Drosophila melanogaster: one gene and its partner. The protein of the gene in region 1 interacts with the protein of each later gene in a pairwise test. Each region holds a gene or a part of one and is shown on either strand. Other genes may lie near its edges.

The links. Proteins that work in one complex are often made in the same cells at the same time.
Region 2: the proteins of Doa (region 1) and eEF1gamma interact in a two-hybrid assay, tested with the Drosophila melanogaster proteins (one study listed by BioGRID).

Annotation. Positions count from the first base shown.
Region 1 is NT_033777.3:28,900,150-28,908,621, forward strand, and holds the start of Doa (darkener of apricot), read left to right. Parts: upstream 1-3,328; 5' UTR 3,329-3,426; intron 3,427-5,489; exon of another isoform or gene 5,490-5,613; 5' UTR 5,614-5,658; coding exon 5,659-7,188; intron 7,189-7,540; exon of another isoform or gene 7,541-7,560; coding exon 7,561-8,472. UniProt on the Drosophila melanogaster protein: Dual specificity kinase involved in the negative regulation of microtubule-based transport through phsophorylation of the microtuble-binding protein eEF1gamma.
Region 2 is NT_033777.3:29,218,415-29,224,445, reverse strand, and holds eEF1gamma (eukaryotic translation elongation factor 1 gamma), read right to left. Parts: upstream 4,275-6,031; 5' UTR 4,246-4,274; exon of another isoform or gene 4,242-4,245; intron 4,183-4,241; exon of another isoform or gene 4,177-4,182; 5' UTR 4,150-4,176; coding exon 4,138-4,149; intron 4,017-4,137; coding exon 3,867-4,016; intron 3,804-3,866; coding exon 2,670-3,803; 3' UTR 2,337-2,669; downstream 1-2,336. Other genes in the region: Brd8 (bromodomain containing 8), read right to left, coding at 1-876; Cisd2 (CDGSH iron sulfur domain 2), read left to right, coding at 1,107-1,203, 1,677-1,900, 1,965-2,045. UniProt on the Drosophila melanogaster protein: Microtubule binding protein involved in regulation of microtubule-based transport. Probably plays a role in anchoring the EF-1 complex to other cellular components.

The DNA of each region.
Region 1 (8,472 bases):
TAGCTTGCTTGATAGGTCAGTTATCTCTCGGCAATCAGCTGATTCATGCCAAGATCGCTGCCCACCCGCACTTGTGCAGCTCGTCATCTGTCTGGGCCCCTTGGCTTCTTGTTTTCTTGGGGTGGGTGTGGTGAGTTGATGTAACATGAGCATGAACATGAGCTCTGCCCGCCAAGCTACCGATGTTATTGACACAGTTTCTGGGCTCGATCGCCGAGTCTAGGGTGCTATGTCGCTGGGTTCACTCAGAAACTGGCGATTGCCTCACATTGTGTCATTCCTCGAACCATGAAGTACTCTCAAAGGCATTTGGCCGACGGTAGAGGTGGGCCGCTGCCAACCAGATAGCCAACAGTAACAGTACCAGCTGAGGTAGCCATCCGGCCGAGTTGATTAACTTGATTGGTAACGCAAAACCGATTCGCCAACACACGTCTCGCACTAGGTGCCGGCTGCCTGGCTTAAGAATCCGGCGGCAAGGCGAGCGTGGAGCGGCTTACTCGCTAAGTAGCTGAGAATCTGAGTGGCTGGCTGGCTGGGTAGCTAAGTAGCTTTCCATGTTGTCCACGCCGCTGGGCGTTGCTCCAAGGACGGCCATTCATCTGCTGTCGCCGGGTGGTTGGTTAGGTAATACCTCAAGAGATCGAACTAACCGGACACCTTTCTTTTTGCAGTTTCGATGACAGCATCTCAACCCGCCGACGCAAGGAGCGTTCGAAGCGTTCGCACCGCAAGTCGCCCGCCGCCAGTCGACGGCAGCACAAATACCGCTACAGGGACGAGACGTCCCATTCGAGCTCCCGCCGGCGGCACCGTGATCGCGCCAAGGACGAACGCGACAGCGGACGCAACAACCGCCAGTCGCAGGCTAAGGTAAAAACTTTTTATTTTATACACACCACAAGTAGCAAACAAGTGAAAATTGTAGGCAGGGCAACGAAAAAAAAAGGAAACCCCAAAGAAAATTCACAAACTGAAAACGAAAGCTAAAAGCAAAACAAAATGGTAAAAGAACAAACTAGGCGGACAGATAGATAATACGAACACACCGGACCGATCTCATTTAACCACCACCTGCGTTTTCCAATCCTTGTGCTGCCATTGCCAAAATCTGTGCCGTCCGTCTGATCAGTGCTAGAAGATCGCTTCCATCGACTCCTCCCCCATCATGCTGTTCTTCAAGCGGTATCTTGAGAAGTCCCAGCAGGTGGCCGATCACTTCGAGAGCTCCCAGATCCCGTGCTACATCAAGATGCGTGATCTGCCGGCGCCACCGGTCGTGGATCACTGTCGCGATCTGATCCTGTCCAGCTGTTCACTGCGTTTTATGCCGTACACGGATGATTGGATAGTCGTTGAGTACTTTGTCGATCACGACAGCGATTATCTAGTAAGCATGTATGTTGTGCTATCAATCGAACCCACCCACCTCCCCTTCCCCTTCTCCTCCTTTTGACTAACCTATCGTTCCTTACTTTTGTGTGCGTCTTGCAGTACACCCTATTCTCGAGTGGATCGGTGAAGTGATCAGCGCGCTATCATGATCGTTCGCCGCTGCACTCGATCCCTCTCTACTTTCTTATCTATGCGGCGTTGAGTTGAGCTAAATTTGTCATTAGATGTGTCACATTGCTCTGGTTCTTGGTCTTCTGGTACAGTGATTACATGGGAAAGTCACTGTAATCAGTGTAACTGAATATGGAAATAAATGCTTCAGGGCTTCAAGAGGCGGAGCACTTGAGTGAGCAGCATGAGTTGATAAGATAGTACTTGAAACAAAGTAACTTGGTTGGGCAAGGCCTTTAAACTGTGTCGAAATTCAGAAACTTAGATGTTACATAATTACAAATAACTATTGGTTTTGTTATTCAAGTGTAGGTTTGAAAAAAAACAGTAGCCACTTTAAATATAATCAAAATTTTAAGAGATAATCATTTTTTAAAAGCTTAGAGCGGAAACTCGGTTTGAGCTGTATTCATCAGTAATAAAATGGTACTTAAATAGAGCAGTTAAGCGAAACCTTGGCAATATTCATGTGCAAATTAAGCAATTTCTATGCGTTCTTCGTGGCATCTAGCTGTATGAAAAACAGCTCTCAATTAAACGAGAACTTTATAGTTCTCATTCACTGTTGGTGGTTCTTTATAGCTACCCCTGTGCCCAACACTCCCCGCTGTTCTAGTTATTTTCGTTCAATTGATCATTTGACATTAACTCGTTGACGGCGGCCAGAGTTTTCTTTGCTGCTCTGAGATGTGATGAGATATTGCTATTGCTGCTGCGGATGATGCGAACTGCTCCTCGCCAGCATTGCCAGTTGCCCATGTCGCCGCCAATTAAGTGGGCTGAGTAACTCGCATAGAATTCCCTCCGCGTCATCGTTTAGTCCCCAGGCCGCCAAGATTCAGTATTTTAAGCAGTTGGAGCAGCAGCTCATCATCCGGAATGGGGCGAATGGCTGTGGCCTGGAAACATATCTGGAGGAGGATGCTTCACCCGGTGACGGAGAGAGCGTGGCCATTACCCGCTGCCTGCTGCTAAAACGGCAACGTAATCACTTTGATCTTGTGGCCCTCAGCGATATGCCTGTGGACAAGTACGCCGGCGACAATTGGATCATCGAGGAGTACTTTGTGGACCACAATGACGACTATCTAGTGAGTCGTCCCCATTCCGAGTCACAGATTGTCGGCGAATATCTTTCGTTTTCTCGTGATGCATTGTCGGTCCTACAATTTTATAGGAACACAACCTTTTTTCAAAAATATTGTGGAAAAAAATATGTACAGTAGTAATTGTAATCCTAACAAATTCCCTTCGTTGTTTTAAACTAAAATTGTTAGTTATAATCTGTATATGTGATATATGTACACATGTCGATTCAAGTCAAATGGTCGTCCATATATTATTCGAATTTCTGCAAACACAAATGTTAAGTCTTCTGGAAATTTTGGCATGATTTATTGGCAATGCTACTGCTTTGACCGCCGCTATATACACCGATTTTACACGGTGCCCACTCACTCTCCCTGTCTATATCATGCCCCCAAATACACACATGTTTATGGGCTCCCGAGAGCGACGCCTTGGGGATTCCTCTCCGCACTGTGCGCATGTTCGTCTAAACTACCTATGGCCCATGGCGCACAGCTGATACTTCTTTCTCGGAGATGCGCGCGCAGCTTCATCCGGCGGAAAAGCATCTACTTGCCATTTGCTCCGTGGCCATTGGAAAATTATAAATACACGCGCCGCCGAAAGTCTGCGCTCTTCTCATCTGCGGCCAGTTTTCGGCTGAGAATTTTCAAATTCGAGGAAACCGAAACAGATTGAAATCTACGTTTGTTGGCTGTGTGTCGCCGCCACTGCTGCCATATAAACCATATAAACTACATATTGTCGTCGCTTCGTCTTCGTCGTGTAACGGTACGGGTACCACGGGGATCCCCCGCACACTCGCTGTCTCTCTCTATCCGGTCAGATCCCCCCGATCTCTATATTGATCGTCTCCTTTCGCGCAATTTGTTTATCGATGTGTGTGTGTGCGTGTGTGGTGTGTGTGCGTTTCTTGTGCTTTGAATATTCCTTTTCTTTTTGTATTTGGCTGAGAAACACCAAATAATCGAATAGAACAATAATTAGAGGTACATACGGAGCGTATGTGCAATATAGAAACGCATTTCGGAACGATAGGATAGGTAGAACAATTGCTGGGCACCGTGACATAATCAAGCGCAAGAACAAAAAACAACCCAAAACTTAGAACATTTAAGTGTTTTAAAAATAAAACAGTAGCAGTGCGGCAAGAACAAAATTGTCGAAAGCGAAAAAAACATCAAACAAAACACTGAGTGTTAAAAAAAAGTGCGCGATATTCATCGGACTGTATTTGTTTAAACAAAACGCGATGCAAGATACCATAGCCAAACTGTTTTATTGACCCCCCGCCAATGGTGGCGAGTGTATAATTCGGAATAATATCAAGTGGGATACCATCCAGCCTGATGAGCAGCTGTGAAACGTCCAAAACGCTGATAGTGAACTTTGCACTTCTCCACCAAGTTTGCAATTAGCGAGGCGAAAGATACTTTTAATAGAAATAGCGTATGGGGATGGAGGAGACTAGTGCAACATTCACTCAATCGAATACACAGATAGAAATGAAGATAGTTTAAAAACATTTTGGACTATGGAATGATATATATCTTCAAACCATATTTCTTTGTTAACTATGTTCCAAAAGTTTAAGGGTCAACAAGTAAAAACAGTTTAGTTACTATTGTGCTTAGATAATATGGTGAATATGTTTTCTGTGTACTCGGAGATGAAGGCGAAGAAGACAACGCAGCGGCCAAGCAAATCAAAACAAAAACTCAAAACTAACAAATGGAGCACACACGTGTGTGTCCGTTAGTGTGTGTGCCACATAGATACAAACTATCTATATGTGCGCTACAGATCGGCGGGATTATTCATCAGGCTGCCACATCATCATCATGTTGATCTCCGCCGCTCCGGCGTCTCCTTCCGCTGCCCTCCATCCTCCACTTTCCGCTTAGCTGGCGTTTTCTATAATTTTCGAAAGCTATTTTCGTAAGGCTTGCATTTATATTTAGTTGCCACAACAAACTTATAGCAAAAATCCAAGACACAAACTTGTACATGATTAAATTTTGGCCATATGATGATGCCAACCAAAATAAAAGTCAACTGGGGTGGAAAACTTTTCCCCTTCAGATTTTCCAACTCGAATGTGTGTGCTTTCGGTACAGTGAAAGCTAAGCCAGAGCTCAGCAAAGATCAGAAAATTAATGGAAACTCAAAGTGAATTAAAAAATCCAATCAGTCGAATGTGATTATCAGAGATCAGAGATGCATCTTCCAAATGAGAGCTGTCAGTTCAATTTGCATGGCTGATCGAGGTTTCACTGTACTGGCACTAGCGTCACACGTACTGTGTACTAGGTATAACGTCGTCCATTTGTTAAAAATAAAAACAGATTTCGAACCGAACACAGAATGGCAGGGAAAGATGCCCAATGAACCCCACCGAGATATCACACATAGGCTAAAACGATCTCTCCAGGGATATTCACACATATTCCACACATCGCAATAGATTTAGGGCAAGGTGCAGATCTTTTGGCTAGAATCGCAAAGGGGTAGGGGGTTTGCTTTTTGATGAGGCGGCGCCGCGATCAATGAGCTCATTGCTGTTTACGATTTGTAATTTGTATATGTCTCTGCTCTATATACCAAAACAAATTGGGGGTGCTATACATGCTTGTACCCATATATATGTCGGATGTATATGGGCGCCAAAAAGAAGCAGTCTTTGGTCGAACGGCGACCATTGATACAATTAGTAAGTCAAGTCGTCGGGCATTTGCCAAAATGCCAATGAGACATTGACATTGAGCGTGCGATCGATTGTTCCGATCCGATCTGATCCGAATAGAACCAATACGAAATAATCCGATGTTGCGCAGGTTTCCTTTGGGGCCAACATTGGCAGCCTCGCGAGTCTTGCCCAGCTAGTCGAACCCAACGCAATTCGAGGGAGCCGCCAGTGCAATATTAGATAATCGAGTAATTTTTCCCCTTGGGATCCAGAAAGAAAGCTGACAATCAACCGAAAAGTTCACCACACCCCTTGGAATGTCCAACGAACTTAGCGAACTGATCGCCCTTGGCTGTCCAGACCTCGCGGCGCAAAAGCCGCAGGGCGGTAGCACCCAGGTGGAGTTGATCCTCAATACTGAGCGCCGCCTGAGCATAAAGCAGATGACGGCCACGGATTTGGCCACACTTAGGGCAGCAGCAGCCGCAGAAGCGGAGGCCAGATCTCGAGCACAGGCGGAGGCGGAAGCTCTAGCAATTGCCCAGGAACAGTTTCGTCAGGCCCGCGAGGCCGAGTCCAAGGCCAGAGCACGTGCTGCCCTCGAGGTGCAGGCTCAGCTGCAGCGGGTGATGGAGAGCGAGAAACGCAGGCAACAGGAAGAGGAGGAACGGCGCATCAGGCAACAGGCAGAGGAGGAGCAGGAGGATGATGAAGACGACGACAACGATGAGGAAGAGGAACTAACCAAGGGTTCCCTTCCAACCAATTCAGGTCCAAGAGAACGCATTGCTTCGCTACCCTGCAACATAGATGATGCCATGGAGATGCACCTTCTTAACGTTTCGCAGCCGAAGGCCTCTTCCAAAGATGACTCACCGCCTAAGAAGAGTACCTCTCACATAGCTGACTCGATTGAGCTGCTGAGAATGCAGCGAGCTGCTCGGGATGCCCGTTCCCACAATCGTAGTCGAGAGCGTTCCATTTCGCCAGATCGTAATCGCGAAAGGAGCGCTGCTCCAGATCGCCTCCAGAGTTCTGCCAGCATGAGCAGCTTGGACTCGGCCAGTGCATCGGCATCCAGACAACCTAGCAAGGCAGGCAGTCGACGTGGTAGCACCACGAGTGCCACCGGTGTGGAACCACCACTTATGGCAGCACCTCCACAGCCTACCAAATTTCCACTCACTAAGACGGTGTCAGCGCCTAACATGGACCGGCGGCGGAGCAGTCTGACATCACTCTTTCCTGGGCCATCGCCATTGGTGGCACCCGAACCATCTCTGCACACTAATCCCGATCCAAGGGTTCAAGAACAGATTGAAGAGGATCGTCGTCGGCGGCGAATGGACGATGGTTACCGTGAGATACCCAGTGGAAAAATGGTGCATCGAACGAAGACACCGCCACCAGTGGGCACTAACCTTGGAGTGAGCCTCAAGCGGGTGACAGCGCCCAGTGGATCGATAACCATCAAGCCCAAGGAATCGCCCATGCTGGGAGTCGTCCTGCGTAGAGTGGAGAAAAAAACTGTACCGCAAAAGAGCATTCTAGACGACGATAAACCACTGTACCACTTCTCCATTGTGCGCAGCGACCACAAGGAACACGTGCCTGCTCAGAAACCAAAACCCAAGCCTGCTCCTCCAGCTGCTAAACCAAGTCCCGGTGGCATCCTTACTGGACCCCAAGTAATTCGAAACGCTCCCAAGCAACCTGTGCCCGTCAAGCCACAGCGTCCTATGCCCGGCGTTCCCATCACTATCACCAAGATCGAGGGCGACAAGATTATCATCATCAAGAAGATCATTGTGCCTAAGAACAGTAAGATACCGGAGCAGTATCTGCAGGTTGGTCGTCGTCGTGTTGGTGATCGCCTTGTGGTGTCTGTAGTTCGTCTGGTGTTTGGTGTCTCCTTCCTCTTGTGCTTTGTTCGAAATCTGTTTTATAGAATTTACCTCGATGGTAGGAACACGTTAATACACTTGGGAATAGTTATGGGTTGTAAAATAAGGAAGTGCAATGGTTTGATTGTGTAAGATATAACAATACCATAAATAAACGCACACACACATAACACACAAAACCGCGATAAAGGCTGAATGAACGGGTTTTGATTGAAAACTGATTGCAAAACAAGCTGAATCAACGGATTCAGTTGAAATCGGATCTTTTATTCATAGAACCCAAAACGGTTCGCAGTGCGCGATTGTTTCCTATAGATGAGTGAAGATGCCGGCAAGCCAGCAAATACAGTGCCCTCAGCGGTATCCTCCTCCGCAGCCCCATCGCCAAGCCTAAGAACAAAAGAGGAATCCCAGCCAGCTATGCAGAAACCTACGCCGCCGCCGGCCAGTGGCCAGCAGTTCTTTCAGGTGGTCTCCCCGCAGTTCGCCTCTGTGCTATCATCCAGCATCCCGGAGAGCAAGTGTGCGGTGCGTTCTCCCATATCGTCGCCACTAGCAATCCGGAAGAGTCGTCCACCTCTGCTGCCGTCGAGTCCAAAGTCCACTCCTCCACTACCGCGGAAACATCACCCTTTGGCTTACAACGCGGCAACTGGAACAATCAGCAGTGCCTCTGGAGCAGCGTTGCCTTCCCGGTTAATGGCCACCATTGCCTCCAGCCCGGCTTCTAGTATATCGCTGTCCTCCTGTAGTTCACCTTCATCATCTCCACCACCGCCAGTACCATGTCGAGCTCCTAAGAATGCCAGTAGACCTGTTGCTGTGACTGCTGCTCCACCTCCATCCACCTCGAACGAAATCAGTTTGGACAAGTTGCTGCAACAGCAGCAGGAGCTAGAGGAGAAATCCGCGGCAGCCACAAACAGCGCAAAAATGGATGCAAACTTCTACGATGCCGAGATTGAGATGATGAACAAGTATCTTAAGAGTCTGCCTGACTACAGCGAACTGGACAGGAAGCTGCACCAGGAGTTCCAGGAGTGCGAGGATCTCTATGACAAGATCAAGCGTCAGCAGCAGCCGCTGGCCAAGTCCAATTCGCAGCAATCGGTCACGAAGGCAGTAGGACCAGGAGTGCCTGCGATCTCCTCCGGCTTATCAAAGTCTTCTTCAATTAACTTCGCCCAGAATCCCAGCAGTCGTGGAGCTGCTCCGCGTTTGGCCTAT
Region 2 (6,031 bases), 320 kb from region 1:
GGGGCTCTTCATGGTGATGACTGGCTGATTGGCAACAGCTGAGCTTGGACCGCTGGTCAGCAGCGAGGTGATGGTTGGCGCCGTAGCCCTGGCCACGCTGCCAGTTCCTCCGGCTGCTGGTGCAGCTCCTCCTGGGGTGGGCGTTGCAGGTGCATTGCCTGTGGGCGATTTCAGGAGAGATGTGAGTAGAGGCGAAGGACCCGTCTGCTGTTTGCCATTGCCACTGGTGTTTATGTCCTCCACGTCCATATCGACGGAAGTCGTGTCGGCAGCTTGGTTGGAACGCTTGACGGCTAGACTGCTGTTTCGCCAGTTGCTGGCCAGGTCCTTCTTGCGCTGCTCGCGCTCCCGCATGCGATTCTCCAGCTTCATCTCCTCGATGCGGCGCGCCTCCTGCTCCTTCTCGATCTCCAGCCACATGTCCTGCAGCTCCTGCTCGGTCACCGCGTCCGATTGCAGCGACTCAATCTCCCGCTGGATGCGTCGGTAAGTCTCCTGATCCTGACGCATCTGCGCCTTGATCTCCGCCTGACGCTCCTCCGTGAGCCGACGGAGCAGCAATTCTGTGGGCGTCTCCACGGTGGCCGGCGAGGAGACGCCGGCACTGCTTTCGCTGCTGCGCTTCTTGCGCTTGGTGGCCTCCACGCTCTCCAGCAGATTGCCGTACTGCATGGCACAGTTCTTCTGCGAGAACCAGTCCGCCGGTCGGTTACTGCTGCCATTGCCGCAGATCGTCTTCAGCGTGCGGCTCACCGTGATCCAGTTCTGGTCGCCGCTGCAGGAGACCGCCGACGCCAGGATGAGCTGCTCCCGCTTCGACCACGTGTCCAGCGGCATGCGGCTCAGTTGCAGGCGCTCTTGTACCCCGGCAGACATTCTAAACTGCAATTTATTGATTTCAATCAATAATTCGTAAACAAAACAGAATGCTATCGATGACTACACACGAATCTGTAATACTGCCTATCGTCGAAAATGCAGTGTGACCCTAGCACTGCGATACCGATAGGACTGGCTTATCGATTTGCTAGCACCGCTAACCGATAGCAACACAAAAACAAGTTTTCCGAATTTAATAGCCAGTTAAATAAAAAAGGCGTTTCGAAATGGAGCCCATATCACATCTGGTGAAGTCCTCGCTGCCCAATTACTTGTCAAGTCTGCCGGTTCCCGACAGCATCGGCGGCTGGTTTAAGCTCTCCTGTAAGTTTGGGCAATGAGCGTGGTTTTGCCCATTGGAATTTGATTTGCCTTCAAAGGGCGCCCCACATAAACCCAAATCCACGATAATGACGCAGCATCTAGGGGGGCCAACTAAATGGACTACTAAGGTGCAAATGTGGCGTGATATTGCGGAGCTGCTAACGGGAATTGGAAGTGCAGTGTGTGCACTTCCAGGCAAAAAAGTTGCAGCGATTATGCAACAACTGCTGAGCTCGCCAAGAAATTTATAATTGGAGCAAGTTTGTCTCGCAGATAGGCAACTAGATAGACGCATAATACAGGCATACCAACATGGGTATACCTATAAACATATATGCGCATATCTTGGTGCGTTTATAACCCAATATGTGTGTAGGGAACGACCTTGTGCCGGTTACGGCTGATCGACCAAAATATCTAGTTATAAAGCTTAAAATGCACTGCATTCCGTATTAACCTGGTTTCGTTTGCAGTCAAGGATTGGTTGGCCCTGATCCCACCCACCGTGGTGGTGGCCGGACTCGGCTACACCGCCTACCTGGCCTACTGTCCGGCGGCACGGGCCAGCTGCGCGGCCAAAAACAGCGGACGCTGCAACAACCACATCCGCAAGAACGAGCCCAAGGTGGTGGACATGATCGACGTGGAGGATATTGCGGAGAAGGCGGCCTTCTGTCGCTGCTGGAAGACCAAGAACGTGAGTGCATTCTAACCTCTGAAATATTGTGAACAAAATTTTCAATTGAATCCTCTATTCGCAGTGGCCCTACTGCGATGGCAGTCATGGCGAGCACAACAAGCAGACTGGAGACAACGTCGGACCAATTGTCATCAAGAAGTAGATTGCGGCGGTGCATCGATACACAAACGTTCTAGCATTTCCTCTCGCTGAGCTCCAGTTTGCTTTTAAAACCAATAGTAGTGGCCGAAGCTGTTTGAACCCTTGTAATTGTAAGCAATAATTGATGATATTGATGGATTAAGTTAAAAGGAGCCAATAAAATTGCCCAAACATAAATTCAAATCGATATGCTTAATTCTAATTACTAATAAATGCCAGACCTAACCTTTACCAACAACCAAATAAACCACACACACACATACACACACGTGTGAGAGAAAACCGTGCTGTTATTAATAGAAAACCTTTTATTTTTTATAAATATTTTCTGACTGCAGGCGGCTGTTCCGTTGACAATATCATGCTGTGTTATGCTTAGGCGGTTACAAACAAATTCTCCAGTACAAAATGCAGGAGGCGAGACACACGATTCCGCCAAACGTGGGAGGCAGCACGACAGATATTGGATATCTTTAGTGTACTTATCAGTTGGAACTTAAGAAATGGGCATTGTGCTCTTCCTGCATTTTAAATCTCAAACTTTATTGTTACTGCTGCTGTTGTTGTTGTTGGTCTAAATGAGGGCGGCTGCTGCTTTGAGCGGAGCTGGGCTAGGCAGAGATGATTACTTGAAGATCTTGCCCTGGTTGAACTTGCGACCGTCCTTGTCGGTGCCGGACCAGGAGAAGTACTGGGTGACCAGCTTCTTGGTCTCCTCGCTCTTGGCGTCGAGCTTCTTCCAGTCGTAGACCTCGTAGTCGATCTGCCAGTCGGGGGAGAGCGTGAAGGCCAGATCCTGTCCGCGCCACACCCAGATACCGGAGATGGTGCTGTTGCCGTCCTCGCCGAACAGGCAAACGGAGGCGAAGGCCGCCTTGCGCATCTTGTCCAGACGCTGGAACATGCCGGTGATGAGATTGCACGACATGAACACCTTGGACAGCTCCTCGTTGTATTTGTACTCGCCAAACCAGATCGAGTAGTTCTCGGCATCGAACTTATCGAAGAAGTAGGGAATGGACTTGGCCTCGTCCTCGTTGGAGTACACGCGCTTGAAGTCATCGAAGTTGAAGGTGCCCTTGGGCAGCGCATCGAAGGGGTCCTTGGACTTGGGCTCGGCGGCCAGGGCCTCATCGGCGGCGTCCAACTCCTCGGCGGGCTCGGCAGCCTTCTTGGGCGCCTCCTTCTTTTCCTTGGGCTTCTTCTCCTGCTTCTGCTGCTGAGCCTGCTGCTGGGGCTTGGCGGCTCCGGTCTTGGCCTGGAACTCGGCGTACTTCTTGGGGTCGAAGACCAGGGCCTTCTCGCACAGCTTGTAGTCCTTGACGACGGCCTGGACCTGCTTCTGGTTGAGGATGGTGACGAACCAGCGGTTCACGTTGCCGAAGGCACTGCGCACACTGGGCTCCAGGACGTACTCGTACAGGTGGAGCAGACTGCTGAAGACCACAATGTCGGCCAATGTGATCCTCTCGCCGGCCAGGAAGGTGGCGTCCTGCAGCTTCTGGTTGAGCTGCTGCAGCACAGCCTCGGCCTCTTGCTTGGCAGTGCTGTTCTTCTGCTGCGGCAGAATGCCCAGCAGGGGGAAGACCCAGGCACAGGAGGCAGGCACAATCTCGTTGTCGGCGAAGGAGATCCACTGCTGGACCTGGGCCTGCACGAAGGGGCACTTTCCGCCGCGCAGCTGCTCGTTGGCCAGCAGGTAGGCGATGGCATTGGACTCGCTCAAGTACTGTCCTTCGGCGGTCTCAAAGGCGGGCACCTACGGGCACATATCGTGTTGATGACCTGGCACTAGCCACACCCACAAAAAAAGCGGACTCACCTTGCCACCGGGGAACTTCTTGAGGAACTCAGCCGACTTGTTGGTCTCGCCGAACTTGAAGTTGTCGGCCACTTTCACCTGGGCTCCGGAGTACTGGGCTGCGATGAGCGCCTTGTAGGCCCGGAAGTTCTCGGGGTAAGTGTACAGAGTCTGCAAATATGGGTGGATTAGTTGTGATATCGTGGCAGCTAACCGGCATCTGGAAATTCGCAAATTCACATGGCTCGAAGCCACGGATTGGAAAATCCTCACTGCCCTTGTGCGTACGTACTCCTTTCACCATGGTGGATTCGCCGTTTAAATCGTCTGCCTGCAAATACAGTATTAAATACGATATAGTGGCAAATTCAGCGAAAAAACGCGGAGCACACGCACTCACCGGAAACGAAGAAGAGAAGGGACGGAAACAGGGCTGCAGGAGTCATCATGGTTACGGCGATATATCGATATTTCCTAGGCCATTTTGGTCATCGATGATTTCTATTCGACCTCGATGTTAAATTATACCTAAAAACATAAATCATTATCGTTTTTGGTATATTTATTTATCACATTTCAATTTGTAAATAAAGTCCAATAAGTGGGGTTTCAATAACAGCGTGCTGTTAAGCGCAAGGCGTTCCACCACTAACTGATCGTTAGTAAGAAAGATCCAATTTCAAATAAGGTGCGTTTATTCTAAAACGACCCGTATTTTTTTGAATTTAAAGTGTTCCCCTATGAAGATATCTGTGATCTCGTTTTATATTTATATTTAGCATACTGTTTAGTATTGCCTGATATTTCATAATTTAAATTTAAATACAGTGTTGTAAAGGGAAAACATAATCTCTGCGAATAGCAGCCTAATCGATGTTAACAGCAGCGAACTATGTTAAGATGGAAGATGAATTTAAGGAAGATTTTTAATTTAATATAAAAACGTTTTATTTATATTACAACGTCAAAGAAAGCAGTATTTGTGAAGTTTATATATTGTTGACATCCTTAAGTTCTTCTGTTGTTTAGGTCAATGATCTGAATATTGAACATTTTTTATCTCACATTAAATATTTGCCGTGTTCATAAACCAAGAAGCCAAAGACGACGCATTACTTAATGAAAACCATTACAGGTACTTTATTTAGATGCTACAAACATGATCACTACGTTCCCCCCACCCCTGCAGAATGCATCAGCATCGAATCGATCGAGGGCCTTCCTTCTCGACAGCATCCTCTTTTTTTTCCGAACGGAAATGCCGCGCATTGGGACGGACTGAGTGACTGAGTCGGTGTCCCGGGGATCGGGGCAAACATTTTTCCAGCTGCCGCCGTCGTAGAGTTCAAGTTCTGCATTGCTCTAATCGCTGCATTGTCATCTTCTCCAGCTCCAGCTCCAGCTTCTACTCTGGCTGCAACTCCAACTCCAGCTGCAGCCCCTTTTCCCAATCACCGCTTGGCGAAGTGCAGGCTTTCGCTGCTTGTGCTTGTTCTGAGCCGATGTTGCTGTTGATGCAGTTGTTGCTGCATCTGGTGGTGTTGGAGCCGTGGGTTGGTATGAGTTGGTATTGCCGCGCTTGTGGGAACGAGCACACATAGCAGGAAAACTATTTTCAAATTGGAAAGGTTTTGCACTTCTCCAACGCGCCGCGTTCGACGACGACAACCTCTTTCTCGTTAGTTTGTTCTTTTAACTATTATATCAATTAGTTGCGGCGTTTGACGGCTTCTTGTTGCTGCTGCTGCTGCTGTTCCTGATTGTTATTGCTGCTGCTGCTGCGGCTGCTTCGACCAGGAGGAAGTGGAAATCCAGTGCAGGGAAAGCCAGCTGCCGCGGCCGTTGCAACTGAATGCGCTTCTCGGCTTTGCCACCGCCGGTCGGGGTTGCAAACTCGCGGGGCCCATATTCATTTAGAAAATATGTAAATAAGCCAGCCGAGCCGCCGAAGTGAAGTGCCCTGCTCTCTCCTCCCTGCGGTGCGTTGGCATTTAAATGAGCGTGAAGCAAATCGTGTGGGAGGAGTAGCTTCATGGCCGTGCAGCAAGTGGCCATACAGTAGCCATCTATCCCTAGCCACGGAGCACTAACAATGGCCCACGGGGTTGAAAGGTGTTCCGGCTTCATTCCTTTGGCCTGAAATTAAAATTGGAGAGCAGCGAAATGCTGTGTTAATAGCGGCAGCA